Linked DNA regions of Schizosaccharomyces pombe. The gene in region 4 interacts genetically with the main gene of each other region. Each region holds a gene or a part of one and is shown on either strand. Other genes may lie near its edges.

The links.
Region 1: of cdc7 (region 4) and ppa2, a mutation in one rescues a mutant of the other (synthetic rescue), as found in Schizosaccharomyces pombe (one study listed by BioGRID).
Region 2: of cdc7 (region 4) and scw1, a mutation in one rescues a mutant of the other (synthetic rescue), as found in Schizosaccharomyces pombe (2 studies listed by BioGRID).
Region 3: mutations in cdc7 (region 4) and cdc37 impair growth when combined (synthetic growth defect), as found in Schizosaccharomyces pombe (one study listed by BioGRID).

Annotation. Positions count from the first base shown.
Region 1 is NC_003423.3:2,283,476-2,292,101, reverse strand, and holds ppa2 (serine/threonine protein phosphatase PP2A catalytic subunit Ppa2), read right to left. Parts: upstream 5,151-8,626; 5' UTR 5,086-5,150; coding exon 4,945-5,085; exon of another isoform or gene 4,784-4,944; intron 4,653-4,783; coding exon 3,825-4,652; 3' UTR 2,731-3,824; coding exon of another isoform or gene 2,044-2,730; 3' UTR 1,657-2,043; downstream 1-1,656. Other genes in the region: cyclophilin family peptidyl-prolyl cis-trans isomerase Cyp7, read right to left, coding at 1-212, 303-407, 450-478, 519-524; protein gem8, read left to right, coding at 799-1,299; Rieske iron-sulfur protein, ubiquinol-cytochrome-c reductase complex subunit 5, Rip1, read left to right, coding at 2,044-2,730; SPOM_SPBC16H5.08C (ATP-binding cassette sub-family F protein), read right to left, coding at 5,757-7,577, 7,690-7,725; alpha-1,2-mannosyltransferase Omh2, read right to left, coding at 8,275-8,342, 8,387-8,540, 8,594-8,626. UniProt on the Schizosaccharomyces pombe protein: Essential role in cell cycle control. PP2A may be involved in controlling the entry into mitosis, possibly acting as an inhibitor.
Region 2 is NC_003421.2:670,474-677,387, reverse strand, and holds scw1 (RNA-binding protein Scw1), read right to left. Parts: upstream 3,913-6,914; coding exon 2,227-3,912; 3' UTR 2,137-2,226; downstream 1-2,136. Other genes in the region: p21-activated protein kinase inhibitor Skb15, read left to right, coding at 362-534, 638-1,028, 1,098-1,255, 1,320-1,623; SPOM_SPCC16C4.21 (uncharacterized protein), read right to left, coding at 5,833-6,078; pus3 (tRNA pseudouridine synthase), read left to right, coding at 6,628-6,914.
Region 3 is NC_003423.3:1,828,233-1,835,472, reverse strand, and holds cdc37 (Hsp90 co-chaperone Cdc37), read right to left. Parts: upstream 4,387-7,240; 5' UTR 4,285-4,386; coding exon 4,262-4,284; intron 4,202-4,261; coding exon 4,175-4,201; intron 4,098-4,174; exon of another isoform or gene 3,846-4,097; coding exon 3,835-3,845; exon of another isoform or gene 3,793-3,834; coding exon 2,453-3,792; 3' UTR 2,343-2,452; downstream 1-2,342. Other genes in the region: anaphase-promoting complex TPR lobe accessory factor Apc13, read left to right, coding at 178-585; SPOM_SPBC9B6.11C (CCR4/nocturin family endoribonuclease), read left to right, coding at 669-894, 1,024-2,306; mdl1 (peptide-transporting ATPase), read left to right, coding at 4,633-6,813. UniProt on the Schizosaccharomyces pombe protein: Co-chaperone that binds to numerous kinases and promotes their interaction with the Hsp90 complex, resulting in stabilization and promotion of their activity.
Region 4 is NC_003423.3:3,221,429-3,230,779, forward strand, and holds cdc7 (serine/threonine protein kinase SIN pathway Cdc7), read right to left. Parts: upstream 5,078-9,351; 5' UTR 5,003-5,077; coding exon 4,976-5,002; exon of another isoform or gene 4,924-4,975; coding exon 4,789-4,923; exon of another isoform or gene 4,748-4,788; coding exon 4,718-4,747; exon of another isoform or gene 4,669-4,717; coding exon 4,604-4,668; exon of another isoform or gene 4,557-4,603; coding exon 4,303-4,556; intron 4,253-4,302; coding exon 3,791-4,252; intron 3,751-3,790; coding exon 3,509-3,750; intron 3,441-3,508; coding exon 3,377-3,440; intron 3,340-3,376; coding exon 2,987-3,339; intron 2,946-2,986; coding exon 2,811-2,945; intron 2,775-2,810; coding exon 1,353-2,774; 3' UTR 923-1,352; downstream 1-922. Other genes in the region: Ras1-Scd pathway protein Ral2, read right to left, coding at 1-753; serine/threonine protein kinase Ppk24, read right to left, coding at 5,392-5,843, 5,926-6,859; meiotic septin Spn7, read right to left, coding at 7,452-7,732, 7,775-7,887, 7,927-8,438, 8,590-8,683, 8,734-8,815, 8,860-9,064. UniProt on the Schizosaccharomyces pombe protein: Protein kinase essential for cell division. Plays a key role in initiation of septum formation and cytokinesis.

The DNA.
Region 1 (8,626 bases), 940 kb from region 4:
CTAAGGTGATAAAAAATTGAGAGTTGTTTCCCTCATTTTCAGTACATGCCATTCCCACTAATCCTCTTCTTATAAACCGTAACCTAGGATGTGTTTCTACAGCAAAAGGTTCACCATATATAGATTCACCACCCATTCCAGTGCCAGTAGGATCTCCACCCTGTATCAAAAACTCTGGTACAACTCTATGAACAATGGTTCCATCGTAATAACTGTATTTAATTAGTATATTTGTAAACCCGAAGCAGTTTAATGTTGCAACATTTGGGACTACAACGTTGCTCATCAACGATTTAACTTACCCTTCCAAGCATAACTGTATAAAGTTTCTACAGGCCTTCGGCACTTCTTTGCACCAAAGTTCTATCTGGATATCGCCGCGAGTAGTTTTAAGGATGACAGTCCCCCTATAATGTTAGTAAAAGTAACTGGAAATCTGAAAAACATACGTTGCCAAAGGCTCCAAGTTGGTCAAAGTCTGAGAGATTAGTCGAAGGGAGCAAGAAAAATATACTTACGGCCATTCCATAAAGTACATCAAATATTAAGGATCGCTAAATTCTTAAAGAAACTACTCATCTTGTAAGTTTGCGTTGTTAGTATAATCCTAACGTATTACCTTGTTTTGCTTTAATTGGGTTATCAAATTCACTACGATACAGTATTTTAATTTGGGTGATTCATTAAATGTTCTAGCGTAGCTTTGCTCGTTCATCAAATTGATTTCATCGCAACTTGTTACAACTAGCAAAGTAATCCTTACTGAATCCAATATTGTGTAAAACCACGGAACTTTTAATGAGTTCTGAAATTACAGAAGGAGACTTACAGAAATTCCATGATGAGCATTTTAATGCAAAAGCAGTAAACCTATGGAATGTTGCTTTCGCGCAAAACGATCGTGGGGGAAATTCAGAAAGTGCAAACGTTGAGTATACACAAAGTGTAGAGCGCTATCCTGATGGGACTATACGAACGTTAACAGATGAGCAAATTCTTTGGTTCCGTGAATCGGAAAAAAGGGAGTTAATGTGGAAAAAGGAGAAGGAGCAATTGTTAAAAGAAAAAGAATTAAGACAAAAAGCACTGGACAAGGAGAGAATGGTTTCTTCCAAACCAGAAACCAACCCAAAAACACCAATCTCATTAAAAGAATTGAAAGATATCGAAATATATCAAAACCAGTTCCATTACTCGGCTTATGAAATTTTAGAGGAAGAAAAAATACTTGATAATATTTTTCGCAAGTTTACTGCATTACCTATCAAATATTGGCCGGCAACACCAATACGAGGATAGAACGTTTTATGAATTGATGATGTTCAATAGAGTAGAAAAATTTCCTGCATATTAATGAAGGATACGCTTAATATTCAATAAATGTCACCAATCTTCATGAATACATTATACATAAGTATATTGCATTTCTTCTACATTGAACTATGATTAATGATATATACCAATTCCTTAAAATAATTAAGGCTAGTGAAAGAATACGATAATTTTCAATCTAATACTGTTGTATTGTTTTATGCAGGTGCTGTACCTTGTAAAGTGATGAATGATACTACTGTAAACATCTAAATATTGGATAATATTATAATCTCCAAATAGTTTATAGCTGGACGGAAGAACGTAAATCCAGCTATGTTCTTATACGGAACCTAGTAAAATAGACTGGAAAATTATATCTGATAAAACAAAATGATCTCTAGCGTACCATAATATTGGAATTTGAAAGATATAGGATTTTCGATTCGTGATGATATATGTACTGCACAGTCTAGCACTATACTGTACTGATCGTTAAAAGTAGCTGTAAAATTATGTTAATTTTTTATTGTGTACTTCGTTATTTTTCGGAGAACTTCGGATATGTAGTTTCATCAATCGGTGAATTCGGTAAATACAACTAACCTTCTTAGCAAATCACAGCACCCACAAACGCCGCCATTTTTAAACCAGAGGCAGCTTGACGTTTCTTCCCCAACCGCTACCCACCGAATATTTCAACAACCTGTTTCTCTTTAAAACGTTGTAAAAATGCTGGCCAAGCAATTTATTTCTAAGTCGTTAGCATCTTCGTTAAGACGGTTGCTTCCCGTTTCAAGCACTGCTTCGTCGTTGAAGGGCTCAATGATGACCATCCCAAAATTTACCTCTATTCGTACATATACTGACTCTCCGGAAATGCCAGACTTTTCGGAGTATCAAACAAAGAGCACTGGTGATCGTTCTCGTGTTATATCTTATGCCATGGTAGGCACAATGGGTGCTCTTACAGCCGCTGGAGCTCAAGCTACTGTTCATGATTTCTTGGCGAGTTGGTCTGCATCTGCTGATGTGTTGGCTATGTCGAAGGCCGAGGTTGATTTGTCGAAAATTCCAGAGGGAAAGAACCTTGTCGTCAAATGGCAGGGTAAGCCTGTTTTTATCCGTCATCGTACTCCTGAAGAAATCCAAGAAGCCAATTCTGTAGATATTAGCACTCTTAGGGATCCTCAAGCGGACTCTGACCGTGTTCAAAAACCCGAGTGGCTTGTTATGATTGGTGTCTGTACTCATCTTGGTTGTGTACCCATTGGCGAAGCTGGTGACTATGGCGGATGGTTCTGCCCTTGTCACGGTTCTCATTATGATATCTCTGGTCGTATTCGCCGTGGTCCTGCACCTCTTAACTTGGCGATTCCTGCTTATACGTTTGAAGGAAGCAAAATTATCATCGGATAAAATTTATTTCGCTCAAAAACTTTTGTCCTAGCTGATTTCCTCCCTCCTTTTTCTCCCCTCTCTTTTACTTCTTCTTTAGCCTGTTGGGGATCAAGTCATATGCTGTCTTACTTGCTTCTTATTTTTATTTGTCCAATGCACTTTCTCATAGCCTTTGTTGGTCCATTTGGCTTATACAGCAGTCAAGATGGCAATTGCAGACTTCCTTTTTCTTGTTATAGTCATTTACTGATACAAACCCCCTTCTCATTCTCAATTAATGCAACCTTGAATCTCTTATTCCAAGACGTAAATCAATAATTTTGTATGTGACGCCTGATTCATGCAAGTCAGATGGTTCTTATTTTATCGTAGTCTAATGTAACTTTACTTTCCCTTTGGTGGTAGTTTCTTAAACCGCTAAAAATATATATAATCCTTGAGTACTCTTCTTGCCTTCAAGGTTTGTGAAATGCAAAAGTATCCCCTTATACTTGAATAAAAAAGTTGTACAATTCAAATATGTAGTTATTGTAGGTTTATCTGACAAGTATCAATAATAAATAAATATCTAGACAAATAAACCATTTTTTTTCTTTAAAAGTTCTTTATAGACAAACTTCTACAAATATGGAATCATGAAGCTGGCTTAAAAAGTTTGGTCATAAAGCTTTAGGATGTTTAATTCATTACAGCACATGACTGCTTAAGCATGCCTAATTCTAACTCATAATATTGTCTCAAAACAATACCATCCAACTATGCAGCAGTCGTTAATCGCTATCACGACATATTAAATAGCAGATATTTCTCGAAGAAATAAGTCCACAACCAAAAATCCTAGTGTGCTTATCAAAATTAACAAGAATATTTCACGTACGTATAAGACACGGTTGCAATGGCTTGAAGTGGAATACATATAAGGATTTTAAGATTTCCTTGCAAAAAAGGTACTTGACAAGTCCTGGAAATGAAAAGACAGTCTGAAGATTCGTATGCGGAGGATGTACAAAGTAGTCTTTTTAATCTTGAGTATTAACTCAAAAATCAGAAAGGTGGATAAATTTTTTGAAACAATCACAATCGATTGATCACTCATTAGAGAATTGAAACTTTTAAAGGAAGTAGTCTGGTGTCCTTCGAGCTATTACCGGTTCGCCTTCTCGTGGGGCAGGATCGAATTGTAAAAAGACTTGATTCATCGTATCATCAACTTCCAAAATAGCTGCTTGATTACCACAGCGATAACAATAATTTGGGGCAGAAAAAATTGTAACTACGTCTCCATCATGTGCCCAATTAAATCCTTCCATAACTAGCTGATGGGCTCGTGCCGTTAAACTTAATCCATTTGCGTGATTAAATGTCTCAGAAATGTCTTGTCCGAAGGTGTATCCGGCACCACGAGGAGAAATTCCCCAACCACATCTATCATCAGGGTCTGACCAAAGCAAATCACACATCGGACCTTCATGGGGAACTTCTTGTACACGATCCAAAGTCCGTACATGGTCTAATGAATCAATGCTCGGGGAAAGACCTCCATGTAGGCAGAAAATACGGTCTTCAATTAAAGCAGTTAAAGGGAAATAGTCAAATAAATTTGTGAAATGTTTCCAAACATTAGCGGATCCATATTTACGCAAACATTCATCATAAAATCCGTAAACTTGAGTGATTTGTCTAGATTCATGATTTCCTCGAAGAATCGTAATTCGGTTAGGGTAGCGTAACTTCATTGCAACAAGCAAACTTACAGTTTCGACGCTGTGATAACCTCTGTCAACATAGTCACCCATAAAAAGATAGTTCATATCAGGCACATCACCTCCAATTTTAAATAATTCCATCAGATCATGAAACTGTCCATGAATATCACCGCAAACAGTAACTGGATTTCGGACAGGTTGGACATTATTTTCCTGACATAAAACCTCACGAGCCTAGAAAAAATGGTTAGCAAAAACTGCGAAAACACGAAAAATGCTGGTATAGATGAGAGTCTCCGACGTAATTTTTAACCACCATATATTTATAGGATGAGATTTCTAGAAACCCGACATTAATGTAATATTAATCTTTTTAGAAATCAAACCGAAATAAGCTGGATAGTTCAAACTCAAACATATCAAACTGAACAATCTCAAGAAATCAAGAGAAAATGAGAACTTGCAAAGTTGGGATATATCCAACCAAGCCTGATACACATATATACTCTCCTTAGTGTTCACTTACCTTATCGCATAACATTTCAACGTCAGCTTCGCTCAGAGGCTCGCATTTTTTCAACTGTTCGATCCATCTGTCAACGTCTCCTAGAGTAGCGTCATTCGCCTCCGGAGCAAGCTTACTATCATTTGCTGGATCTATAGACATTAATTATGGAATTTTGTATATAGTAAAAAGCAAGTTATAAGTCTTTCTAACCGTGTGTTGCTTTTGGTAAGTTGAGACCGTTACAGAGGTGACAGGCTACTCTTGCGTATCATCAGCTTGCTAACAAGCTATGGCAAATCGACTTTATGTGTAAACAGCATAGCGATCTGGTATACAATTAATAATATAGAATATTTGCATTTCTTATTTATTGATTACTAACCTGGATTTTTCTCAACAGTTTGCGCTTACTATGTGAATTCACGAGATTGCTGTGTAGCGTTTTCTAAGGTACTAGAGAAATTACGAGCTCACTGGCATTTTTTAATAGAATGGGTTATTATTAGTCTTTTCGAGAAGAAGCGTACATAGTTTTCAAAACCGATGCTGTATAAAGTTTCACGCATAAATGCTGAGAAGTACAGTTTACCTATAGTCGGTGGAAAAAGATAATTCCACTCTAAATCGGACTTAACGACAATTCTTGAACAGTACACAGAGATGAAATTTTGGCTTAATAGCTTCACTCAATGATAGAGCTTGACAATTACAACGATGAGACCAAAAGCAATACGCTTCTTAAACACTTTCAAATAAGTAATAAACATTTTATATTAATCCCACTACTCAAAATGTATCACATATTCCCTAACCAAAAATCTATAAATTAACTAAATCAAATGCTTAACTTTGGCAGTAGTATCACGAGATTGAACTTCTTTGGCCATCGACTTCTTATATTCCTCAATGGAGCAGTCCAATTTCACAACCTTCTTGTCTTTAACTTCCCACAACTCTTTAGAAACTTGACCAATTAGACGGAAATCGTGAGAAACCAAAACAACACCACCAGTCCATACGTTAATGGCTTTGGCTAGGGCATCAATAGAGGTAATATCCAAGTGATTCGTAGGTTCATCAAGTAAAAGAATGTGGGGTTGTTCCAAAGCGAGTGCTGCAAACACAACACGGCTTTTCAAGCCATCAGATAAAGTACGGATTTCACTGGTTTGGTGAAGACCAGACAAACCGAATTTGCCCAAAACGCTGCGCCATTGCTGAAGTTCTCTCTCGGGAAATTTAGGCTTGTAAGTATCCATGATGTATTCAAGTGGAGACTTGTCATAGGGAAGCTGATCGGCACTGTGCTGAGAGTATTTAGCCATCTTCAATCCACTGTAACGAGAGACATTGCCTTCAATGGGAATCAAAAGCCCAGTGATTAAGTTCAACAATGTAGACTTTCCGGTACCATTTTTACCCACAATGGCGACACGGGAGTCCATATCGATACCAAAGGACAAGTCACGGTACAAAGCGTGATCAAGATTACCATCATAAGAGAAAGCAACGTCGTTAAAAGCAATGATAGGTGGTGGTAATTTGCGAACTTCATCAAATTCAAAGCTGAATTGACGAGGAGGTTCGGGCTTCTCAACTAAACCGGCAGCCTCCATTTTATCGATAATCTTTTGTTTCGACTTGGCTTGGCGTACCAAGTTTGCATAGGTACCAGCACTAGCAATAAACTTTTTAATATGAGCAATTTCCTCTTGCTGTTTTAAGTAAGCCTTCATCTGATTGGTTTCATTTTCTTCCTTAGTACGCATATAAATGTCGAAATTACCACCATAGTAGACAAGCTGCTTTTTAGAAGTTAAATCAATAATATTGGTACAGACGTTGTTGAGGAAATCTTGAGAGTGGGAAGTGACAACAAGAATTTTGTCGTATTTCGCTAAGTAATTCTCCAACCAAACAACGGCTTCTAAGTCCAAATGGTTGGTAGGTTCGTCCAAAAGAAGCAAAGAGGGTTTGATGAAAAGAGCACGAGAAAGTGCAACACGCATACGCCAACCACCAGACATGTCCTTTGTGGGTTTGGCCATCATTTCCTGGGTAAATCCCAAACCATGCAAAATCATAGCTGCTTTTGCCTCAAAGGTGCTAGGATCCATATCATCCAACTCTTCATACTTGGATTCTAATAGAACATCATCAACATCATCGGCAGTTGATAACTCTTCAATTTCGGCTTCCAATTTTTGAACCTTGTCTTTTGCTGACTGAATAATATAGTCGACAGCATTAACATCAGAGGGTTCAGCCTCTGCGTTCAACAAGTAGCTATCAATGTGTTCTGGATATTCCACATCACGAGCAGCCACGGATTCCAAGAATGTACTTTTACCGGAACCGTTATCACCCAAAAGACCATAGCGTTGACCATGGTTGAGTTCGATAGTGGCATTCTCTATCAACAGACGTCCGTGAAAAGAAAGGGTGTAACTGTCAATTTTAATATCGCGACTCATTGGTTGACTAGTTAAGACACCAGAAGCACTTCTTTCAAAAATAGGGTCGCTAGTAGAAAGTTCCGACAAATCTTTTGTGACTCCATCGACTTCTTTATCTTTTCCATTTTTAGTTCCATTCTTTTTAGAGGGCTTAACGCTCTCGCCTTTAGCAGCTAAGCGCTCAGCTTTTTTAGCCTAAACATTTGTTAGCGATTGAGCTTAAAAATTTTAAAAGCAATCGAAAAAAATTAGAAATAAGCTATTTATTTGACTTTTTTCTCTACAGCATTCATTAATAGGAACTTACCTCTCTTTTCAGTTTGGACGCTGATTTGGACGACATGTTGGCTAAGTACAGAATAATTTTGTCGAAAAAAAATTGACATTAGGAACTCCTGTGACGTTTTCAGATAAATTTACAGCAAATACAATAAATAAATATAGCGTAAAAAATTTTAATTGCTTAAAAAAAATACGGACCTTTTAATGGGCATGTTAAACCATTTTATGAGACTTATAACAATATAGTTGTTACACTATTTTGACAAAGAAAGTGTGTGCATTAATAAATAATTATAGAATAGTAGTGCTGGTAAGGGATTTAAATAAATTGTTAAATAAGAGAAAATTTTGTTTAACTAATTATTGTTCAGAGTTATGAATCCAAAACAAAAACAAATATTCTGTTGATTTACGCATGTCGACTTGCTTACGATAACAGTGCAATGAAGTAAACACTTTGAGAAGAATTCCTTGTAGTAATAAATTAAAACACAATAAAATACATTTAATATCTTACTCAGGGTTATCCTGACCTCGTTGCATAATGACATTTCCAATACACAAATTGTTAGCCTAAAAAGTTCTGTTCATTTTGATTGCAACAAAAGCATTATAATTCATCGTAGTCTTCGTTAGTTAGGTTAATGAACCTAGCTATGCAAGAAGAGTTGGACGATACTAATAAATTGTCAGCAAATGTGCAGTATATTAATTATACTTACAATCAATCTCTTCCGGTTTACAGAAGCAACGTCCCTTTCTAGGGCAATGAAGAAGAGGAGCATGAGAATATCCTATTTCGTCAAAGTAATGCAGTTTGTTTCTATCGAGAAATAAACTTAATGCTATAGAATGTACTGGAGCATCACCCCATCTCTAAAAATTGTTTTAGCAATGTTGCAAATTCTTCCGTTGACGTTTGGTCATACCTCATAAAAAAAGCCACCCTTTTTATCTAAAAA
Region 2 (6,914 bases), on a different chromosome or scaffold from region 4:
TGCTACTTTGAAACACTAGTTGTTTACATTAGCAATCTGATCAATTTGAGACCAAAAGCACACAAAATAAGGTATTTATTATTAATATTCATTCTCTATAATCAATTTCAGCAATTTAAAAATCTTTCTTCATTGGTTTTGAAGAAAAACATAAAGTGAAACTTCTTGCTGTTACTTTAAAATTTCATTACACCTGCAAATTCTTTGCTACTCTCTCCTTCTTACTTGGTATTTGAGAATTTGTGGTTTAGGACTCAATTAAATTATAATAGAAAAAGCAAAAGGATCGGGTGCTTATTATAACTTACTTTGGGTTTTGTATAACTGGATTTAGGCTTCAATTGTCATACTTTAGTCACCGATGCTCCGTTTTGTAGTTGGAACATATACTCACCTCATTTACGGTGTTGATGCAGACATTGAGAGGAAAAAATGCAAGCCCTTGTGGCTTTTTGAAGCTCATGAAGGAGCTTTAACCGCGTTAGCTGTCGACGGTATTTACTTGGCTTCTACTAGCAGTGATGAAACAATTAAGTAAGTTATTTGCAACTGGAATTATGAAACTGGACTTAAATGGTTTCATTCTTCCTTCCTTGTATTTAATTATCCTTTTAAGCATAATCTAACATCGTTTCAGAATTTTCGATCACACTCGTAACGTCCAAATAGCCGATGTTTCTGTTCCTACAGATATCGCCAATGCATGTATCCGAGATATGTGTTTTACTAAAAATCACCTTTTAGCATGTCATGATAACGGGCAAATCAGTATGTGGTCTAAAGGTTCATGGTTGTTGGTTCATACTCTTAAGTCATCTTCTCATAAGGGCATCACTGGTATAGCAGTTCACCCTTCAGAAAAATTGGCCCTAACAGTTGGAGGTGATGGAAAGTTGCGGCTCTGGGACCTTGTACGAGGTAAAGGAGGTAAAGTTTTACCTTTAAGCACTATCCCAGAATCTATTCTTTTCCTGAATGAGTCGTCATTTGTTATTATGTCACGAAGAGGCATTGATGCCTTTAAATTGGTAAGAATTTATGCATTTTTCTATATGCAATTTTCCTCCTTCTTTTATAAATTACTAATACATTTTTAGGATCTCACTTCCCTTTTCAGCTTCTCTTCTAAATCTCAATTGAACGCTTTGTGTCTCTATCAATCCAAATTGATAGTTGGACGAGATAATGGAACAGTACTGGTTTTGGATACTTCTGATGGGAAGATTTTACATGAATTTACGGCGCATAAGAAACGGTAAGTGTCTTTTTATATTCTATACTCAACAAATTAAAAATTCAAAATTTTCTAATCAAGTTAGCGTCAAATCTGTCTACCCTGTTGATGATTATTTAATTACTGCAAGCTCGGATGGTTCAGTATGTATATGGGATAAAGATTGGAACTTAGTAATTGAGCATAACATTCCAGAAGGCAATCGAATTACCTGTATGGTAGCTATGTTGGCCGATAGCAATTCAGAACCCAAAAATGTCGAAGATGAAGCTGCGAAACGTCAAAGTTTGGATTCGGAAACTTCTGAAACTTCTTCAGAGTCAGAATCGGAGTCAGAATATTACAGCACTTCAAAACAGCCGCCTGTGAAAAGGACGAAGCATGCCTAAAGTTCCTCGCAATTTTAAAAAAAGTAAATCAATTTCAACTTAATAGGGAAAGGACGGGATTACTATTATACAGTTTTTGTTGGAAATATTTTATTCACCTAGACTATACTAATATTTATAAAAGGATTAAGTGTTTGCTTATCAATGTATCCTAAAAATTCTTGTATGTAAGCTTAAGTTGGGTGTTACAATAAAAATACATCTAACCAAGTTGTTACAGTACTTGTTTAGCAATTTAAGATGGGTTCATTTAGAAGCAAAAGTCGATATTATTATGTAAATTGATATGTGTAGCAGAAGTATATGGAAATGATGAGCAAATGATAAATCCTAATGACAACTAAACAATGCAAGTACCCATCTTATATAAGAGTGAAATAAAACAGATCGCATAAATCGACAAATTGTAATTAAGCTTAACAGATGGTTAAAGTTGCATGCAGTCAAAGTGGAATAGATCGCAACTTTTGATTAACAAAGAATCAATATGCAAAACTCAAAAAAAAAAAAAGAGAAACAATATGCTTAAAAAATTTGGACCTAAAGTCCTTGCAAGGTATTGATGAATAATGATAAAATGAAGACGAGAAAATGCTAGATGAGCTATTTGCCATACATTAGATTATTACCCCAACTGGGACTGGCGTGGACTTCGTTATGTCCACCAGTATGATTAAGCAAAGAGTCTGTATTGTAATTATTCATGGAACCAGAGTGAAGGTTACGAACGTTTCCATTATGGTTGTTATGCGATGAACTTGATGAGCGCACTCCCAATGGGTTCTTCGAAAAACTCAAACGAATACCACCTTTAATGCTACTGCTAAGACAAACACCTTGTAAATTCTTCAAGGCTTCCATGGCGTATGGAATGTTTTCAAATTCAACAAAACACATGGGGCCATTGCCTTTAGTGCGGAAACAAAGTCTTTTGTATCCAACTTGAGTGGAAAACAAAACTTTCAACTCTTCCTCGGAAGTAGAAGGAGGAAGATTTCCAACATAAATGGTGTTACAAGGAGGATTTTGATCAGCAGGGTTGGTATTCGTGGGGGTAGAAGCAGGGATGCGTTGATGAATTCCATGACTGGAGGAATAAGCCGAAAATGGTGTGGAAGGTGAAATGGTAGAAGCTGAAAATGGGTAGTCTCTTGATGTTGATGGTGTCAAGGGAGGAGGGCTTGTTGTACTGAATGCACTGTTTGCCGAAAAGACACGAGGATGGGGTGATTGAGCACTAGAATTTTGGGTATGAGCGCTATAACCCTTTTCAGATGAAAGGTAATTGCGCGCCACGTTGGTGTTAATAGATAATGAGTTAAATCGCAAAATCGGAGGAACACCGTCTTGACGCAAATTGGTACTACTTTTGGAAGGAGTGGGTGACCACGTAGGTGAACCAACTTCATCCTTGGCTAACACATTCGCGAGTGTTAAAGGATAAGAAACAGGGAAAGAAGACCACAACCTATCGGAATGCAAACTACCTCCATTGTTAGGAGCCTGAAAAGTGCTATCACCCAAAGGTGTTTTTGAATGACGATAAGCAGATTCCGAATGATTTGCAGTAGGCATACTGGCTGACACATGATTACTTGACCTGCGGAAAAGATCACGATTTCCTAACAGTGGACGAGTTGGAGAATGGTTTCGAGACAGTCTGTTAAATGAAACACTACTCTCAGAGCCCTCAGTTTCGTCGCTAAGATTTGTTTGACTTCCCTTTCGATAATTGTCTAAAATTATCATGCTGCACGCGGAATAAACATCGCTAGATAGCAAAGTGTCTCTAGCAGATGCAGCAGCATCTCGGGATGAAAACACCGCCAATCCATGAGCAACTTCATTATCCACGGATACAGGATTAAGCTCGACGGATACTACATTCGTAGCGAATAAAAAGGTACATAAAAACTCTCTGGGTGTTAAGTCCCTAGGTAAATCCTCAATCCGCAAAGCATAATATCTAGGAAAACCGAATCCAACCTTAGGAGGAGCAGAGGCTAATCCACCGTTGAGGTTAGAGAGGAGTCTACCAATCGGAGTTGTGGATTTTTCCACAGATGCATAAGTAGGTAAACCGTCAGATTCAGCTTTCCCAGCTTGGCTGTGAATAGCCTGAGGAGACATGTGAAGAGCATGACATTCATCATCTCCATTCAGAATACCGGTTGGAACCAACGATGAACCACGTAGCGCATCTTCAGTAAACTCGGTTTCGTCCCCGACTTTGGTCTTACTGGATAACGATAAAGGCTTTTCAATAGCGCTCGGTGATCCCACAAACATTTTGCAAATTATATATAATGGTAATTGAAAAGAAGAGAAAAAAGAATGACAAAGTGGTTGATAAAGTAACCAAAATAAGCAATAGATGCCTAAAAGTAAAACACAAATGAAATAGCAGTAGTTGTTAAATAAACCCCAAACGATAATAAATGAGGCTTCAAGCTTAATAACACGAAATAGTTAATAAGTGGAGTAAAAAGTTAGAAACCTAGTTGGTCGACTAAAAAGAAAGTGTGTAAGTAATAAAAATAAGCAAGGGCAATGAAGAAAAATAAAAAATTCAGTAAAAATTGTTAGCAAGTATTAGAAAAATCCAAATACTTGACGCGAAAGAATTAGAAGGGCAACAACCTAGAATACTGGACGAAGATAATAAAAGAAAGACTGTAACTTCAAGAAAACGAGAGCAAAGGGTAAACTGTTGACCACCACAAATAATTCTAGTTGCTAAAAGAGAGACAGATACAACTGTGAAGCAAAAAACACAAACTGAAAATGAAAAAAAGATGACTGAAATATGCAAAAATACCGAGCTAACAAAAAGTCTAGGGCAAGGCTTATGAGGAAGAAATCGTCAAAAGTATCGATAAAAAGACTTCGAAGGTATTCGAAATGCTTAAAAAAATCAGTTAGCGATTTTTTTTTTTTCAAAAAAAAAGAAATGGTTGCAGATGGAAAAATAAAATAAACAATCAACTTTTCAATCAGCAGAGTATAAACAAATATACAAACAAGTAAACAAAAGACACTTGTTTTTTTTTGGAGAGGTAAATCAAAGGAAAGCAATCGGGCAAAAAGTGAGAAGCAAATAAAATATACCGCTATCAACAAAGAGTAAATATCCAACAACAAGAACAATCAAGATAGAAGTAAAATTGCTGGGAAGATTGGCAAAACGTAAGCAAAAGAAGTATGAACACGGTTTATAAAGGAGCGAAGAATGAAAGGAAAAGCAAAATAAAAGAAGCTTTTCTAAGTAACGTTAAATAAGAGAGATCAAGTTAAAAGAAAAAAGGCAAAAAGATTCCAAGAAATTTCAAATAAAAAGAAAAAAACTAAGAAGTAAAGTGAATATGAAATCTTTGTGAAAAAATGATTGAAACTTGATCAAAATAATAATAAGGCATAAAATAGGGTCAGAAGAAAAAACAAAGAGGGAAGAAAGAGAAAAAAAAAAGAAAAAGAATAAAACAAAAAAGGTAACCCACACAAAAACGAAGAGACTAAATATTATATAAATGTCACAAAACTTTGTATGAACAAAAAGATGGGCAAAAAAAAAGACCAAACGTTTAATAAGCAAATACCCTTAAGTAATGAGTAAAAGGCGGAAGAAATGAATCAACGAAATCAAACGAGTGAATAAAATTTCGAAAAAAAAAAAAATAAGGAGCCGGGTATCTGAATGAAAACGAATCGTGACTATTTTATGGATTGAGAATAGGGAAATCCTAAAAACACAAAATTGTTTAGTGGGGATAGAAATGGATAGATATGAAAATGAAATGAATAATGAAAGGAGGTCGAATAAAAACCCAGTTGAAAAACTATTTATGGCCAAAATTCAACAAAGCAACAAATGGCTAAAGTTCAATGAAAGGGTACAGAAAAATAAAAAAGAAAAGTAAGACTTTCAACACACACGTTGTGCTTCCGAAACGGATATAATTTTCCTTGTCGTGCAGGCTGAGTCAACGAGCCCCTAAGATGAAAAAATGAGAATTTCCGTAAAAACAATGAAAAGAAAATATTTAATAGGGAGAAACCGAGGAACGCAATAAATAGCAAAACAACCAAGACTGAGAATGCAAAAAAGAAAAAAGAAAAACAAGCGTTATTAGATGAATGAAAGGACAATCGAAAACTAATCCAAATAATAATGGAGATGATAACAGTAAATATCAAATTTCTGCTATTCTGCTATGTTTCCGGCTTAAATCTTTTTTTTTGCACTACAAAAAGCGTTTTCTTGCCTACTGCGACTGTTTTCCTGGTGGTTGGGAGGTATAGGTGGTCGGTAAGTTCGGCGTGCAGTGTGGAAACGCTGTACGTTAGAGGAACACCAGCATCATCATGCATGACAAAATGTTGAACCGATGGGTTAGCGGTTAAGATGCAACATTCACTATATCTCAATCCCTTAACATTTGCCGGATAGAGCTGCATAGAAAAAAATTTGTCAAAACCCGGGTAGTAAGAAAAAGTATGGTTTAGAAGGTATTTTAAATAAATCAACGAAAATTTAGCAGAGAACAGTAAATAAAGAAGCAAAGATTGATAAGAAAGCGGTTGCTAACGAAAAGAATTAGTTTTGTAGGTTGACCTTTGAAACGACTGAAAAAAAATTAATTTTCGATAAAAGTTGAAAAAAAAGGACCTTCTAAAAACGGCAAATTTTCGGCTTCATTGTCCATTCAAAGGGGTAGAAAGGAGATACAAGGTATTTCTTTGTGGTATCTAGTATGTACAGCTTGGTTTAGTAAAAGAAAATAGATAAACAACAGGGTATTGTGGGTAAGACTATTCATGGAAGCTAGGGCTCTTTCCAAAAAATTATAGTAATATTCTATATTGTTCATGAAAAACAGTTGAAGTGCTTCTACCCTTAGTTTAATATTTTTTTAATATCCTAACTTTTGCTTGAGCACATGCCATCTGTAGTACCTTTCCTCTCTTTCATTAAAAACTTGCTTAGTTAATTTCATCTTTCAAACTATGCATAGTCTCTTAAGACCTTCAAGGTTCTCTGCCAACCAATCTGTGCTTTGCTTGCTCCAACGACATCGGGTTTTCTTTTCTTCGATTTCGGTGAAACCCCGGAAACGAATGGTCTACTGTGTTGTCAGCTATCGTGGTACTGGCTTTGCTGGTTTGCAGTACAATGCCAATGTCAAAACCATACAAGATACACTGTTCCAAGCATTCGCTCGAGTAGGCGCCGTTGTTCAGGTGAATGCTGACTCTCCCAAGAAGATCCGAATGTGTTCTGCTGCTAGAACAGA
Region 3 (7,240 bases), 1.4 Mb from region 4:
GAATAAGAAATTAATCTAGAATTCTTATAATTGATTTTCATGGAAAGATCTCCCTCCCCCCAACTAGTAGACTTTGCTGCTAAATGCTTTGTTTACACACTTACCACCGACTTCTCCAATAACACCAACCGTATAAAAGCACCATAAGTCTCCTACTTGGAATCAGTAAAACAATTAATGGATTCGAATTACAATTATGTTCATATGAATAAACCGGGAGTAGTTTTGTTTGCCTCGGATTGGCTAAAAGATAGACTTCCAGTTGACGATGTCGAAGTGCGAGTAGAACACTTACCACCTGTTACAGAAGATGAGATGACTATTCAACATTCTAGTGCAAATCTAATCTTAATGAAAAACAAACAGCTTAGGCATGAACCGGCTTGGAAAGATTTGGAACTCGAAGATTTAGTTAATGCCTTTGCATTCATTCAAGGCTCTTCAAATGCCGAGGGTAAAAATACAATTGAAGATAATTTTGAAACAGATCCTTTCAAATCAGTCAAAGAAGCTCCAATGGCTCCTTTTCTTGAAGCGAACAGAAGGCATCAAGGAGAGCACGCTAGTATGCGGTATTTTAGATGATATACCTGAGGTTGTACGAACCAACAGTCGTTAATCCATTTCGGCTGTGAAAACTTAAATAAAGTCTACTCAAAAGTCATTGTATGTACACTTGTCCTAAAACGTGTACATTGACTTTGAAGTTTTTTATCGATCGATTCCACACTGATTATAGATTATCCAAACTTGCTATATCATTCTTTGATCAGAAAAAGAACAAGATGGCAGATTCGATACCCGTTAAGAAAAAAGGCTCAGCTAAAGGCCCTCCTTCGTTCGTAACGCCTGAATACATAGAGAAACAACGCCAAAAAAAACTTGAGAAAATGGGTATGAAAAAAAATTTTCGTTCATCTAGTCGAGCAACAATAAGAAGGTTGTTGTGAAACTTTTTTTAAGACCGAATCTCTACTCCTTTGTTTAATTTTTTGTTGCTCAATTTTATTAACTGATTATTAGCTAAGAAGGCTGCTCGAAAACCTATTGCTCCACCAAGCAATGCTCCACCCGAATTCAATACGGACTTTATAAAGCGTGAAATGCTCTCCATCCCTAATTATGCACCGTTTGAAACTGAAAAGTCTGCATTGGATATTACTATTATGACTTACAACGTACTTGCTCAGACAAATATTCGTCGTTCAATGTTTCCACACAGTGGTGAGGCATTAAAATGGAAAAATCGCTCACGAATGCTCGCTAATGAATTAACCTATTATTCACCAACTTTGGGATGTATGCAAGAAGTTGATGCTGAATTTGTTCCTAATTTCTACAAGAAGTTATTAGGTGGATTGGGTTATGAATTGCATTTCATAAAAGGTGAAGGTAAAACTCATGGAATTATGATTTTTTGGAAATCCTCTTTGTTCAAAAAGGTGCAAGATTTGACTATTTATTACGATGATCATGATGAATTACCAGGTAGAATGAACACCAAGAACATCGGTTGTTGTGTACGCCTTGAAAGGGTAGATGACCCGAGCAGAGGGTTGTTCTTGGCTACTACACATTTATTTTGGCATCCTTACGGCTCTTACGAAAGGTTACGCCAAGGTGCAATATTGGTAAAGGAAGTAAACAAGATGGCACAAAGTCATCCTTCTTGGCCTGTTTTTATAGCTGGTGACTTCAACACTGAACCGTTCGATACCAACTTTCCTGCGCTAACTACCCGCCCTCTATCCATCTGCCAAAGGGCTACTGACATTATAGAACGTAGTATGAATTACGTATTTGGGGAATCTGAGTTGGAAGAAAAAAATGCTAGTACTAAGACAGAAAATGATTCCAATGAAGATGACAAAGAAGAATGTCAATCCTCTTCTACCTCAAGTGTTCCCGAATCCACAGCTTCTACCCCAAAAAAGAGAATTTTGCATGTACAAAATGACTATGTACCTCACTACCGTTCTTTTTATCAGCAGCACGAGCAAAATCCCGTACTTTTCAGTCTTTATTCAGTGGGCTATAAACTGGTTCACCCAGAAAATGCAAAAAATACGTTTGATCATCCAGCATTTACCAATTGGGCTCATGCTTACCAGGGCCATTTGGACTACATATTTGTTATGAATCGTGATACCTCACTTCAAACTCCCGAAAATCAAGTCGTTGAAGGTATAAAATTAAAGGCACTGTTACGTGTGCCTTTACCCAGTGAGATGAAGGAAGCGGAGCCTTTAGAAGGAAGATATCCCAGCGACCACGTTGCTTTGATGGCAAATGTACAAATTGTTTAAATACTTATTTTATTATACGGTACACACAAGGTATGGTAAATCAATAAATAAAATTTCATTGTTGTTTATCCATTTAAAAATGCCAACGGCAAACATGTAACTTTGGTGTTTTCGCTTACTAAAAGCACACCCGTAAGCAGAAAAATTTAAGACAATTGAGGAATAGTCTCACCTTTCGTTGTGTCGATGATTCCTTCTTCGATACTCAACATACCAGTACTGCTGAGCTTTTCCACAACTTCTTCTGCATTTTCAACTGCCATTTTTCCAAGAACTACATTAATCTTGTCTAAATCATTGGTCATAAGAGCTTTTTGGAGGTTAGGAGGAAAAGACTCAAAAGCTGCACGAGCTTTTTGTGTCTCTGGATCAGTAGAACCTGCCTCCGGGATGGTGATGGAAAGTTTCGTATTAGGATCAACTGCACAGAGCTGGATTTGTTCTACTCCTTCACCGCTTTCAGCTTGTTCTTTGCTGATGGCAGCAGAACGTTCATGGATTCGGACATATGTATTATGAACATCCTCTAAAAATAGCCGCTGAGATTGGTGATTTGGGTCTTTAATTTTTTGAAAAAATATTGATAAACCATTTGGTCCAAGCTGTCTGCAATAGCTGATCAAAAGGGCTTGATGAACATATTGTTTTGCTAAGGACGGCTTCCCTTCTAGTTCAGCATTAAAGGCTTCCAAAAGAATAGCATCAGATTCTTCCTCATCTGCCAAGATATTTAAATGTTCTTTCAAAAACTCTTCCGATGAAGAATAATCACCAAAATCAATATTGGCAAACTTCTTACCATCTTCAGAAAGAGACAACCCTTCTTCATCTTCCGACTCATTCTCATTGACAGGATTTTTAGGGGCATTACCAGTAGAAGCTTGCTCTTTAGCGCCGGGAAAATCAGTAGGAGGTGTAGGGTTATTAAGAGATTCAATGACCTGGATGGTCTCCTTTTTGGTTTTAGTCTTTTTAGGTTTTTCAGGCTCCTTTTTCTGAACATAGGTGGAATCAAAGCCCAAATGCAAGTCTTCAGAAGTGATGTAATTTTTACTCTCAGCCTCTAAAGTATCATACTCCTTTTGTGCATCTTCTAGCAACTTCAGAAGACGCTCTTTGTGTGACTTTAATCGTCTCAAGCATTTATCCGAATCATCCATAGATTTTTCTTCGGTAGTGTCTTCGGCATCTTTAATTACTTTTAATAAAGACATAAGCATATGATGATACGACATGCCTCCAGGAATGGCACTATCCATATCTTCAGACTTTTTTGCCTCTAAAAATGAACCCAATAAAACATAAGGATCCGAAGGAGATTCCTTCTCAAGAACAGTCTCCATTTCGGAGATGCGAGACAAGAGTCTACGATTCATCGCCATTGCACCTTTGATATCTTCCATTTTTTGCTTTCTAACAGCCCGTTTTTCGTGGATATCACGTTGGCGCCATCTAATAAAAGACTTTTTATCGACATTTGGATGAACTGCATGTGGTTAATTTAATATGAATACAACCCGTAACAAACCTTCAATGTCACTAAATGTTGTTAGCATGAATTTATCAAAACGAAAAATAAATGAAGAAGGAAAAGAAAGGAATGTTTTGACAATGGTTGTTTATTAGCTAAAAGAACCCAATTGGCATCAAATATACAAACTGCAAATTAATGATTGCCTTTTTGAACCCAACATGTCCTTCAAAATGATAAAAAGATGAGTCTGAATTTTATTTTTGAATTTATTCCATCCTACTAATGAAATTTCATTTCGACTTCTTTTATTGTACTCCAATCAAAGGCATCATGTAGAGTATTTAACCATTGTCCTTACAGAGCCGATTTCCTCTCCAAACCGTATATTTCATACCTGTCATCACTAAGTTCTAGCTTATCCCTGTCAATTCTGTTAACTTCATATTCGCCTACTTAAAAACAAACTTATCAATAAACTTACCACTTGCTGTAATCAATTGCCATCTCGAAGCAAATTATAATTTCAAGAAATTTAAAAAAAGTAAAAGACACAAATGTCTTTGCTATTCTCGTCGATTTGACTTGTTGTAGAGAAGTGGTTGTGTTAAGGTAAATGAAATCTTAGTATGTACCAAAGCACCTACCTTATGCGAATGTAGAGTACTTCGTGGAAATTCTATCGAAACTACTAATACCGTAGAGAAGAGAAAATTTGATAGAACGAATACTAATAAAAAGTATATATTAAATAATTTATTTGTACATACTTTGCGCACCTTTTGTTGCCAAAAGCCTGTGTAAACCCCGTTTCGAAAAGATTCCGTTCATTTCCTTTGAAAGGCACATTCATGGATGGATCCAATACGTTTTGGACTTTCGAGAGTACCATTCGCTCACTGCTACAATAAACGCGTAATATTTCGAGCAAACTATTTAGTACCGTTGACTTGGTTGAAAAACAACGTGGCTTACAAAAGTACGAATACTCTATTACTTCCCACGCCAAATGCAGAATATTATAGTACCAGTAAGTTATCTTCACAGGTTAATGTGAGCCTAAACTCGTTATCTCAAAAGGCCTCAAGTGGTTCTAAGATATATCCTTTTAAAAATAGTTTTCCGTTACCTTTTTCTAGATCTATTCTTCCTATACGATCACTTGCTTTTTTAAAGTTGTGTGTGCGACATAATTCTACAGTTCCATCAAAAGATGAGCAAGCACAGGATATCTCAAAAATAAATACAAATGGTACATTACAAACACCAAACAAGAAAGTCAATGTTTTTCGTCTCTTCACACTAGCAAGGGGTCAGGGATGGAATTTTTTTATTGCTGGATCTCTTCTCTTAGTTTCCTCCGGCGTTACAATGTCCATTCCCTACATTGTTGGCAAAATCTTAGACGCTGGCTCGTCAGGCGATTCTTCTGTCACGCATATCATGGGAATTCCTTCTGGTACGTTTTATATTGGTTTGTTGGGTTTATTTTTCCTTGGTTCAGCTTGTAACTTTGGTAGAATCATCACCTTGCGTCTACTGAGTGAAAGAATTGTCAGTCGTCTTCGAGCACGCTTGTTTGCTAAATGCATGTCATTAGATGGAGCATTTTTTGACTTTCATAAACATGGGGATCTCATATCCCGTCTTACGACGGATTCGAGTATTGTCGGTAAGTCTTTATCAATGTACTTAAGTGATGGTCTTCGTAGCTCAGTTAGTGCAATTGCTGGAATAGGGATGATGCTCTACGTATCCATGAGACTCACTGGATATATGTCCCTAATTGTACCCCCAATTGCATTGGGAGCTTTCTTTTATGGAGAGTATGTTCGGAAACTTTCCAGGACTACACAAGATGCTCTCGGTGATTTAACAAGGGTTTCAGAAGAGAAACTCGCAAATGTTCGGACTACACAGGCTTTTCTAGGAGAAAGACAAGAAGTAAATCGTTACAACGATTACATTCGAAATCTCTTTGTCCTGGCAAAGCGAGAGGCTTTTGCTAGCGGTATTTTCTTCGGGTCAACAGGGTTCCTTGGGAACGCAACTGTAATCGCTATTCTTGCGTTAGGCGGAAGAATGGTTGCTGCAGGTGATATAACTGTAGGACAGCTAAGTTCATTTTTGCTGTATACCGTTTATGCCGGTGGAAGCATTGTTGGCTTATCAGGATGTTTTACTGATATTATGAAAGGTCTGGGAGCTGCTAGTCGGTTATTTGAACTTTTAGATGCTAAACCGAAGATAGCTCCAACCGTTGGGATTCCCGTTCCAGTCACAGTCGGAAAGGCAATACTTTCGTTCAGAAATGTTGGGTTTGCATACCCAACTCGTCCTTCAGCTTCAATATTTGATAACTTATCTTTCGACATTCATCCAGGCACCAATGTTGCTATAGTCGCACCTAGTGGCGGTGGAAAATCCACCATCTCACAGCTCCTTTTGCGCTTTTACGCACCTAGTAGTGGGAAAATATTAGCTGACGGAGTTGACATCTCTACATATAATGTTCATCAATGGCGCAGTCATTTTGGTTTAGTTGGACAAGAACCGGTTTTATTTTCTGGTACAATTGGCGAAAATATTGCTTACGGTAAATCTAACGCATCTCAAGAGGAAATCGAAGATGCTGCCAAACGAGCGAATTGTAGTTTTGTGCTTTCTTTCCCGGAGAAATGGTCTACGCAAGTCGGGACTCGTGGTTTACAACTAAGCGGGGGACAAAAACAACGCATTGCAATTGCTAGGGCACTTCTTCGAAATCCAGCATTTTTAATTTTGGATGAAGCTACTTCAGCATTAGACGGTGAAGCAGAAGTAATGGTGGATAAAACGATTCAATCTTTGATGCATAATCGTAGTATGACTACCATTACGATTGCTCACAAATTGGCTACTATTCGCCGAGCTGATCAAATAATTGTTGTTGGAGACGGGAAAGTTTTGGAGCAAGGGTCTTTTGAACGATTGTCTCGTCCTGGTACCAACTTTTACAAGTTAATGAGATGGCAGCTTGGAAAAGTTGAACCTTGATCGTAAACGTGAAGTATCTCTTGTTCGTTTTATTAATTTATTCATGCGTACTCTCAAGACGCAATTTTCAATCATATCTTTAAATACATCGGTACTCTATTCTTTTTTTTCTTCGCTGGCATATAAGATTAGCAAATTAATAATATTCAGTTCCGTAATTAGTTTGGCATTTAAAGAAAGGGCTGCGGAAATTGTTCCTTTAAGCAATATCAACTGAGAAGAAACTGTAAAATCTAAAACCCCAATAGCAAACTTAAGTTTGAAAGGAGCAAATATTAAAAGAGAGAGAATATATATTAATTGCACAAAATTCGTTACGCTTGTAAATCTCGACAATGAAAAATCGTCCAGTAGTTTATGCGGCAAATGGAAGTGAAGCTAGATACAAATCACATTAAATGAAATAACTACAGTACGGACGTTCAGT
Region 4 (9,351 bases):
AAAAAACAAAGAACCGATAGAGTGCTCATTAGAATCCTGAGTTGTATTAATTGGTCGACACATCTGTAAAAATTCACTATCTTTGTTTATTACCACACAATTCGATCTGTATATACCACAGTGATGATTGAACAGGGATTTAAAAACCCATTTTCCCGAATCCAGGTCAAAAATATTTATCTCTTCAATATAGCTGTTTGATAAATCTTGCCCACAAAATATAATAAGATAATGATCTAACACGCAATGCAAATGTCCGTAACGTGCTGATGGATATAAGTGTTTGCTTTTTTCATCAACATCAGATCCATTGACTTCTTTAGCATCGTCATTTGTCTGATTCTCTGTTATCATGCCAGGTATATGAGACCATTGCTTAGTCTCAATATCATATATGTCGATGTCGTTAAGAACATAAAGACATTTTGTATCATCATTAAATCCCATACCACCAAAGAATATTAATTTGTTATTCCATAAATCCCCTGAATGGAAATACCGTGGTATCGGCTTTTGATTTCCTTGATATTCAACTTGCTTCCAGGAACAAGTGTTAAGATCAACTACATACATATCATTAACAAGCTGCGCATTTAATGCATCGCGTCCTCCATATACAAAAGCCTCGTCTCCATATTTTATAACTGACTCCCCAATCAGCGGTTTTGGGACATTATTTGAAGATAAACTAAATGTAGAAGTAAAAATGTTTGTTGAATTTCTCAAAGATATATTCCTTTTTACTTCTGACATAGATATAAACTGTTTAGCAACTCGACGTTAATAAGAAATATCAAAAAAGTGATTTTTCCTTCCACATAAAAATTAATAATTACTGAAATGCAAACAGTCAAAAAAGATTTATGCAATAAACAAAGCAGCAAATTAATAGCCAAAAATGAGAAGCATAAAAATCATTGTTGTCCTTTTGTTTTAGTGCATATTTCTTCCTGTATTGCACTATCGTAGCGTTAACTGATATAGTGAAGTTAACTTTTATGCACACCTAGATTTTAAAATTCGAAGCACTTGAATGAATAAATATAAATATACACTGTGATAAGCATATTATAAACCTTTCTCTTAACGTTTCTAAGATTCATCAATATAGATTCGGTAAATAAATAGTCTTCATTGCGGTACTCAATTAGATTGTATTTCAGGTATAAACACAACTGGTAACGTACTTACACATGGAATGATAATATATTAATATTAAAATTAGCAAAACTTTCGTTTAAAAAATATTGATTCCATAATCCCAACCTTATTTATTAATCATTAAGCCATAAATACAGAAATATCATAAACAAGTAATATAGTCGTGCACTGGGAAATGCGTTTAATAGTGTTCACTGCGTTAATGGCTGCTTTGGTTGCCATCTAGGTGGAGGCATATGCGGTTTCGAAATGGGGGATTTGTGCTCATTGATGGGACCCTGTGGTACCTTCAGGTATTTCAGCAGGTCTTTTGCTAGTTCTTTAACAAGCACAGAATCACTTGTTTGGTTCAAATTTGCAACCACATCTGGTAAACCACAATGCGCAATATAAGCAACACTTTGGCTACTAGCTTCACACATTGATTTCATAATTTGAAATATGTTTAGGACCACAATCGGCTTGGTCCCCTTATGAGTTAACTTTTCTTTAAATTTCTGGAATATTATAGGCTGGCCATAAGAGGCTGCCAATCTTGGGGAAATTTGACAAACCCTGCCCAAAGTATCTAGCATTCTGTTTGAGGAAGCTGATTGAGAAATACAGAACACCTTTAACACTAATTGTACGTTTCTCTTCTCTGCCAAAACACGTTGTACTTCACGGAGTTCAAACTGCAACCAAGATGCGATCGTATCAAATACCGCAGATTGCCAATTAAGATCTGATAATAACGAGAGAAAAAAATCTAAGCATTTATTTTGCCAAAGATAAATTCTCGACACTGGACCAGCCTGTGGCAAAGCTAATAATATCGGCAGCGCAAACTCCTTAAACAGTCTGTCTTTAATAATCACCTCTTGCAATAATGGAATAGCACCAGAAATAACAGCCTCTTCTTGCGATTTCTTATCTAGCTTACACACATTGAATAAAGCGGCCAAAGCTTCGCTTCTAATTTCTTTTCGTCCTTTCTCAATTTTGCTGTCACCGAGAATATGTGTCAAAAGAGGTATTATATGAACTTTCCTAAGAAGCGACAAAGATGAAGGAACCATTGAAAGTTGCTTGAAAAACTGTAAGGTAATCGCCATATCAGAATGCGGCAGATAAAGCAGAATACGCAATATCCTTCGAAGAGCACTTTCGCAAAGAAGTGATTCCTTAACATAATTATCAGCCTGAGATAAAGCCAATAAAATTTCACATATACGTGTTAATGACATTCTTGAAGAATCATCGTCAGTAGCCAAAGCTTTCAGCATGGCTTTGGTCAAGGGCTCTAGTGAATCATTTACAACCATCGTACAGATATCATTTTTTGGAATGTAATCCTGTTGTCTCAGTAATTTCCATATTCCTTCTACGCCAACAAAAACAAAGTCACGGTTCGTTCCATAGTCCTCTTTAATAAATAATAAAAGCGAATTCAGACCATTTGAGCTCAAAAACATTTGTAATGTCAAAGCAGAAGTTCTATACATCTGTTGAATAAAGATAGCACTTTCATATCTAAACTCAAAAGAGTGTTCACGATTAGAGAATGACAACATAAGCGGTAAACCTCCAGCAAAGCAAACTTTTTGTAAAGTTGTGTGATCATCGAATGCAACCTAACGTTAGTAAAATCACGCATTAAATATCCTTACAGTGTTAATGAGCTTTAATAACAGCAATTGAACATCAGGCGTTTTTATTTCGCGCAATGTCTCTAAAAGTGGAAGGATACCATGCGCTTGTATTATCTCTCGTTTTAGAGAAAGATCTTCACTAAGTATAGAAGCCTATTGTCAGTTAAATTATCAATATAAAAATATGCACTTACTATTTGCGAAACAGTTGTATCCTTCGATCCGATATTCTTGTCACGTAGTGAGCCTAACAGACTGGAAAGTAAGGAAGCTAGATGCGTTCTCTTATCTAAAGCAATGTTGTTTTCAATATCCAAGTTTTCTAAGTTTGTTTCAATAGAGTCAAAGATATCCGATTCTTCCCCATCCTCATTTTCTTCATTATTCCACGAGCCATAACATTTGTTTAAAACCAAAGTCCCCAGTCCAGTCTCCTTTCTCAATCCTTGAACTTTGATTGAGGATGTAGGGAAAATATCAGTAAATTCACTATCTCTGGGTGTCTCGACAAATTTTTCAATTCCGTCTGGTATATTCTCTTTAAACTCTAGATAATTAGTTATATGTTAGTATCAGATACTTACCAGTTGACAAGTATCTTTTATGTTGCGGAGTTTTTTGATGATCTATTGACCGGTTGAGAGCGGGCTAAAAAAAAGGTTAATTATTTATTTAAAATCATTAAAAGCTCTAGAAAATCGAGCTGCATTATTTACCTTAGAGGGATCAAATTGGGCTTTGAGAGGAGTACTCAACGGTGATGCATTAAAGTTGTTTGATTCAGAGATTTGATCTGAATTAAAAGCATGGCGAGACTTCGAAGGGGATGATGTTATGGAGCTGGAATTATTTTTTCCTTTAAAGTTACTGCAAAAATCCATAAAATGCTCAGATTTCTTTAAAACATCGTCACTGATTTTAAGGGTTCCTTGAAATTCATTGTCCCAGTTATCATGATCTAAAAATGTTAGAGTAGTTAAAAAGTATCATAAAGCTACCTGGGGACTCGGCAATTGGTGTTTTTGGAGACTCAGGCATGTGATAAGAAGACTGCCTGCCAGAATGAAGAGTCGGATTGATTCTGTTGGAAGTAGGCTCGATAATAGCTGTCAAAGTGCTTTCTTTCACTCTTTCATTATATTTTTGAACCTCGTCTATAGCGTCAGAAAATTTAGAGGAGGTTTGGTTCATTATCACCCAAGGATGTTTAAGAAGTTTTCTGGTCTTAATTCGTAAATTTGGGTCCTTTTGGAAACATTGCATTAAAAAACTTTTAGCAGCCGAAGAAATATTTGAAGGCAAGGGAGGATGTTCATCTTTCACCATCCGAAAAAGAGCGGACGTAGGATCTAAATCATAATAGGGAGGATTTCCATCTAACAGTTCAATAACTGTGCAGCCAACACTCCAAATATCTGAGGCTGTTGTGGCGCCTACAAGCTCTATAACCTCGGGAGCCACTATATAAATTGTTAGTAATGTTATAACTATACGCTTAGAAAAGGCTTACTCCAATAGGGGCTTCCAACAACACTATGATCCTCTAAAGCATTAATTTTCGTCGCAACCCCGAAATCTGCTAACTTGATAGTGCCATCTTTAGTAGTAAGTATATTGGCACCCTTAATATCACGATGGATAACACCCTGATTATGTAGATAAAGTAGCCCTTGTAATACTTGAAACGTATATAAGGCCACTAGGTTTTCTGGAATCTTTCCAAAGTTTTTACAAATTGAGCGCAACGATCCGTTTTCGCAATATCTATATATCGTTAACTTGAAAACAATTTTTTAAAGAAAATCACGTACTCCAGAATAATGCATAGAGAATCGTTCGTCTGATAAGATCCCCTATATTTAACAATATTTGGATGCTACCACGTTTAGTATTTGGCGACCATTATAAACGAATGAGTAACATACGTCCAAATTTTTAAGCAAATCAATCTCCATCTAAAAATTGTTAGAGAAAAATAGTTGAGATCCCTTCATACCTTAATGACGGAAAGATCAGATTTTAGCATTTTGGATAGTTTAACTTTTTTTACAGCCACCGTTTCTCCATTCTTTATATTTAGACCACGGTATACTGCACCGAAGGCACCCTTGCCCAAGCAATCCCCAAGAGTCTGAATATGTTATTGAAAATCCAATGGCTATTAACATTAAATACTAGCATACGATGGAAGATGCTTGGATATTGTGCATGACTATTGAATAAGTTACAAATTAAAAATTGAATTTATTTGTAATTTTGAATGAAAAGACAATTTGGTTTTGTTTACGATGTAGCATTTGCTGCGTTTGAAGAAGTAAGGACTTTATAGTGTACATACACATTTAGTACGGTACCTGAACTTGCATGTTATAAACTCAAAAGAAGTAAATAGTAATAATTAAGCTATTTATAAAATCATTAATAAACAAAGATTCTCGTATAAAAGAAAAAGCGTATTATACAGACATATAAAAAATATTGGCAAGGATGGAACTAATCCGTTGGTTAAGTAATGTCAGTGGAAACACCATGTACATAGGAAGAATGAGTTCATTTTAGCTTGGAAAGTAAAGTAGAAAAGACAGTGATTTAAACTACGTTAAACAAGTGTCTGATGGTTATGAATCCGAGGAATCAAACTTTTCCTTGTAATGGGTTTAGAAGCATCAAAATCAACTTCCTGTAAACTCTTATTTTCATGATCGGTAGAGAAGTTACTGCAACAATCCAGTTTCCGTACCCATGCAGTACCTAAAATACTATCCAACGACGGCCGATTCTGGGAATCAGGATTCAGTAAACTTAGTATAATCTTCTTAGCACCTTCAGGTATATATCTGAGGGGCTGCAATGTAGGTATTTGTTTAATGACTTCGGTTTGGAAACTGGATTCATCAGTTGAAGAAATACCACAAGTATCTGTAAGGATTGACATATACTTTGAGTAGTAAAGATCAGTTTTCACGGAAGTTTTAAATGGAAAGTATCCAGTAAACAGAACTTTAAGCAAAATACCACATGACCACCTATCTGCTAAAAGACCACAATATTCTATCAATTGAACTATTAGTACGTCGTTTTTGAAATAGGATAGAGCTCGTCTTGCTACACAATTTATACACATAAGACTTACCATTTTCATGAAATGCTTCTGGTGCTAGATATGCCAAACTTCCAACAGCACCCGATACGAAACGAATGGATTCGTTATCACCAGGATTACCCACAATTTCGCTGGTACCAAAATCGGTGAGCTTTAACAATCCATCCCTTCCGATTAAGATGTTTTCCGGCTTTAAATCTCGGTGCGCAATACGTTGAGATTGCAAGTAAGCTACTGCTTGAAGAATTTGCTTTAGATAACAACATTTGTCTTCTAAGGTCAAAACTTTTTCTTCAATTTGCTTAAATAAATCGCCTTGAGGACAGTACTCTTGAACCAAACAAAACCCAGCGGATTTATTAAATACGCTTGTCAAAGTCACACAAGGGCAGATAACTTTCAGAATATTAGGATGGTCCAATTTTGGTTGGATTGACCATTCCCTTAAAAAATAAACCATTGTATTCAATCTTTTTTTATGCGATGTTTTCGTTTTCCGATATACTTTGGCAGCATAGTATATCTTTGCGTCGGTGATTTTATCTCTGTGAGTTACAACCTTGATTGTAGAGGTGGCCCCTTTAGCTATTGATTTTAGATGCTGAAAGTCTAAGCGAAATCTTATTTCGGGTAATATACGCTTCAGTGAAGGATCTAATCCAATTGCGAAGTCAGACATTCCAATAAACGAAGGTTGAATTGAATGAACGGAAAGTAAGCTAGTATTACTGTCTAAGTATTCATTTTCTAACCATGGTGCAGTAATTGTACTTGGCTTTATAACGACGGAAGACTTCTTGGTTGTTGATTTAGAAACATTTATTGAAAAAAATTGGAAGAACTCTTTAGGAAATCTCCCAAAAATATTTTCAATCGAAAGACTATTCTTATTCTCTGAATTCCTTTGAATTGCTGAATTGTCCACGAAAATTGTCCCCTGGCGAAAAAAAGGATAATTAGTCATTAGTGACAAGCCGCTGAAGCTAAGAAGCCTAGTTACGACTTCAAATTGATTGATTTTTTATGTACTTCTTCTTTATTTTCTTACTAAAAAAAGAGTGTTTTCAGAACAACCTCATCATTTATTCTGTTTAGATAAAGAGTTACGTGTTAGCAACCTCAAAATTGCATAGTTGTAATCATAACGTCTTTGAAAGAAACGAAATTTCCAAAATCATATGCTCACGAATGCCTAAATCGATGAACGACCGTTTACGCATCTACGACTCAACCTGAAAGACGTAATGATGAGCATTGGATTGATTCGACTCATTACTCAGTAATCAACAGTTAAATGAATTTGTAAATTAATATTTTATTTAAAAATACCAAACGAGACGTTCGGCAGCCCTCAGTTAACTCATCGTTTCAAGTAGGTCATAACAATGCACGTGTGGGTGCGGTAATCTAGTAGTCTAATGAATGCTTATGTTAAGGACATAGGTAGAGAAGTAGGTGTATGATTAAGCAATTAAAAAGAAATCAAAAGACTTTTCATGAACTTATACTAAATTATTCTTTTGATTGTTTATAATTTGCACTCTCAAATGTTTAATTTAGCGATAGAAAGGGAGGTTTTCGTAACGCTCATGAGACAAATCATCCATTTTCTTCATCTCCAATTCCTTTGTCGTATTGTTGGGTAGACTGTTTCGACTTGATGTAGTTCTGTGAGGAAATTCCTTTGGCGATATTACTTCTAATCCAATTTGTTCACAGTTTAATTGATTAGTTTTAGTTTTAGTATTTCCATAAGAATCGCATTTAAGACTGCTGGTGTTGTCAACTTTGATGGAGTTAATTTTCTTTAACTCCTCAGATTTTGTAGAATCGGAGACTGCGTTCATTAGCACGAAAATGAGAGAATGCATATACTTACCATTAGTTCGCATTTCTGATTGATCAATCGAAGATCGAGTCTCCGTTCTCTCAGAACCATTTACACTTCTTTTATCTTCATTTGCAACTATGGAATTTTGCTTTTGCAATGACCTAACTTATTAGCTCGCTTATGCATAGTTAATTTCTTACAATGATGTGTTCGAAGGTGAGTCGTTGGACAGTTTTTCTGTACGATAATTCTCATAATAGGTTTGTTTAGTTATACTTTTGAGTATATCCAAATGAGAAATAAACAATACGGTCTTCAAGTTAAGAAAATCAGAATGTGCAGGATCATCAATTACGAATGTTCCCCATTGGAATTTCTTGACGATTCTTTGATATCCTTCTTCATCTTCCTCTGATACCCCTCCAGATACAGCGAATGGAACACTTTCCCAAAGTCGTTTGTTATCCTCAATGACTTCGTCTTCATCCTCCTCAGGATCCCAAGGAAAGTCAAATACCTTTATGTTACATTGTTTCAAATCCTTCATTATCACATCTTTGAAGTTCTTTAATTCTTCTTCAGTAAAAGCGTTGGAGTTTCCAATGACAGGAATTACGTTTACGCGCTTTGAAAACCGTTTCATGGCTTCCAAATCAAACTCAGACAGGCAATGTCCACGGGGTGCAATAAAATAAAGTAGGGCATCAACGCGCTAAAATATCGTTAGAAAACTTTTTTTTCATTCCTCATTCTTAAACCAATGTGTTCTCTTGGTTTTCTACTTAACAACATTAAATCAAGTAATGGAAGTAACTTGATTGAAATAGTTAAGGACGGAAAAACTTTGTTTGCAGATTTCGTACCGTATCAGTAAATTTAGAATTTCTTTTGATTTTAGATTCTTCTATCAAGGCTTGATCGAATTGGCTTTCCAAATAATGAGTAACTACCTCGAAACTAATGCATTGAAATTAGCTTTAATTTAGAAAAATACCTTTTGGTATTACCTAGCTGAATTATCAATTTTATCTCCGAAACCATTTACTTCAATGACCGTAAGGTCAACATGGAACTCATCTTCTAAAATATCTAATTACAGTTAGCACACGAAAATTAAAACCGTAATAACTCACCAGCATTAAATTCCCTTATTTCCAGTATTCTATCAATATGAGCTTTTAGCGGATCTATCTCTGTTTCAGCTTCCAGTATTTGTTTACTGCACAAGCTATTGATACAAGCTTGGTAACTGGTGTAGCTAGATCCTGCTACCATTATGCGAAGCTTTTTTCCCTTTTTTGATAAGAATTTTGGACGATGTCTTGGGCCTTTATTCATCTTGAAGTGTTTGCTGTTGGAAGAACTTGGGTTTGTTTGTTTACTGCTTAATAAAGGCACCGATACGTTGGCAGTATATCCATTTCGCAAACAAGGAAAATCCAGAAGATTTCTTTATACAAAACTTTTCAATAGTACTTTTAAATATAGTTTATATTTTTTCTTCCAGTATTCTTCTCTAAATCATTTTGTGCCTTAATCATCTTCGCATTGTCCAAAATTTAAGTAATTTAACCTTTGACCTTTAACGAGCCCTCTGTTCATTTACTGAGTTAAAATAAGGCGCT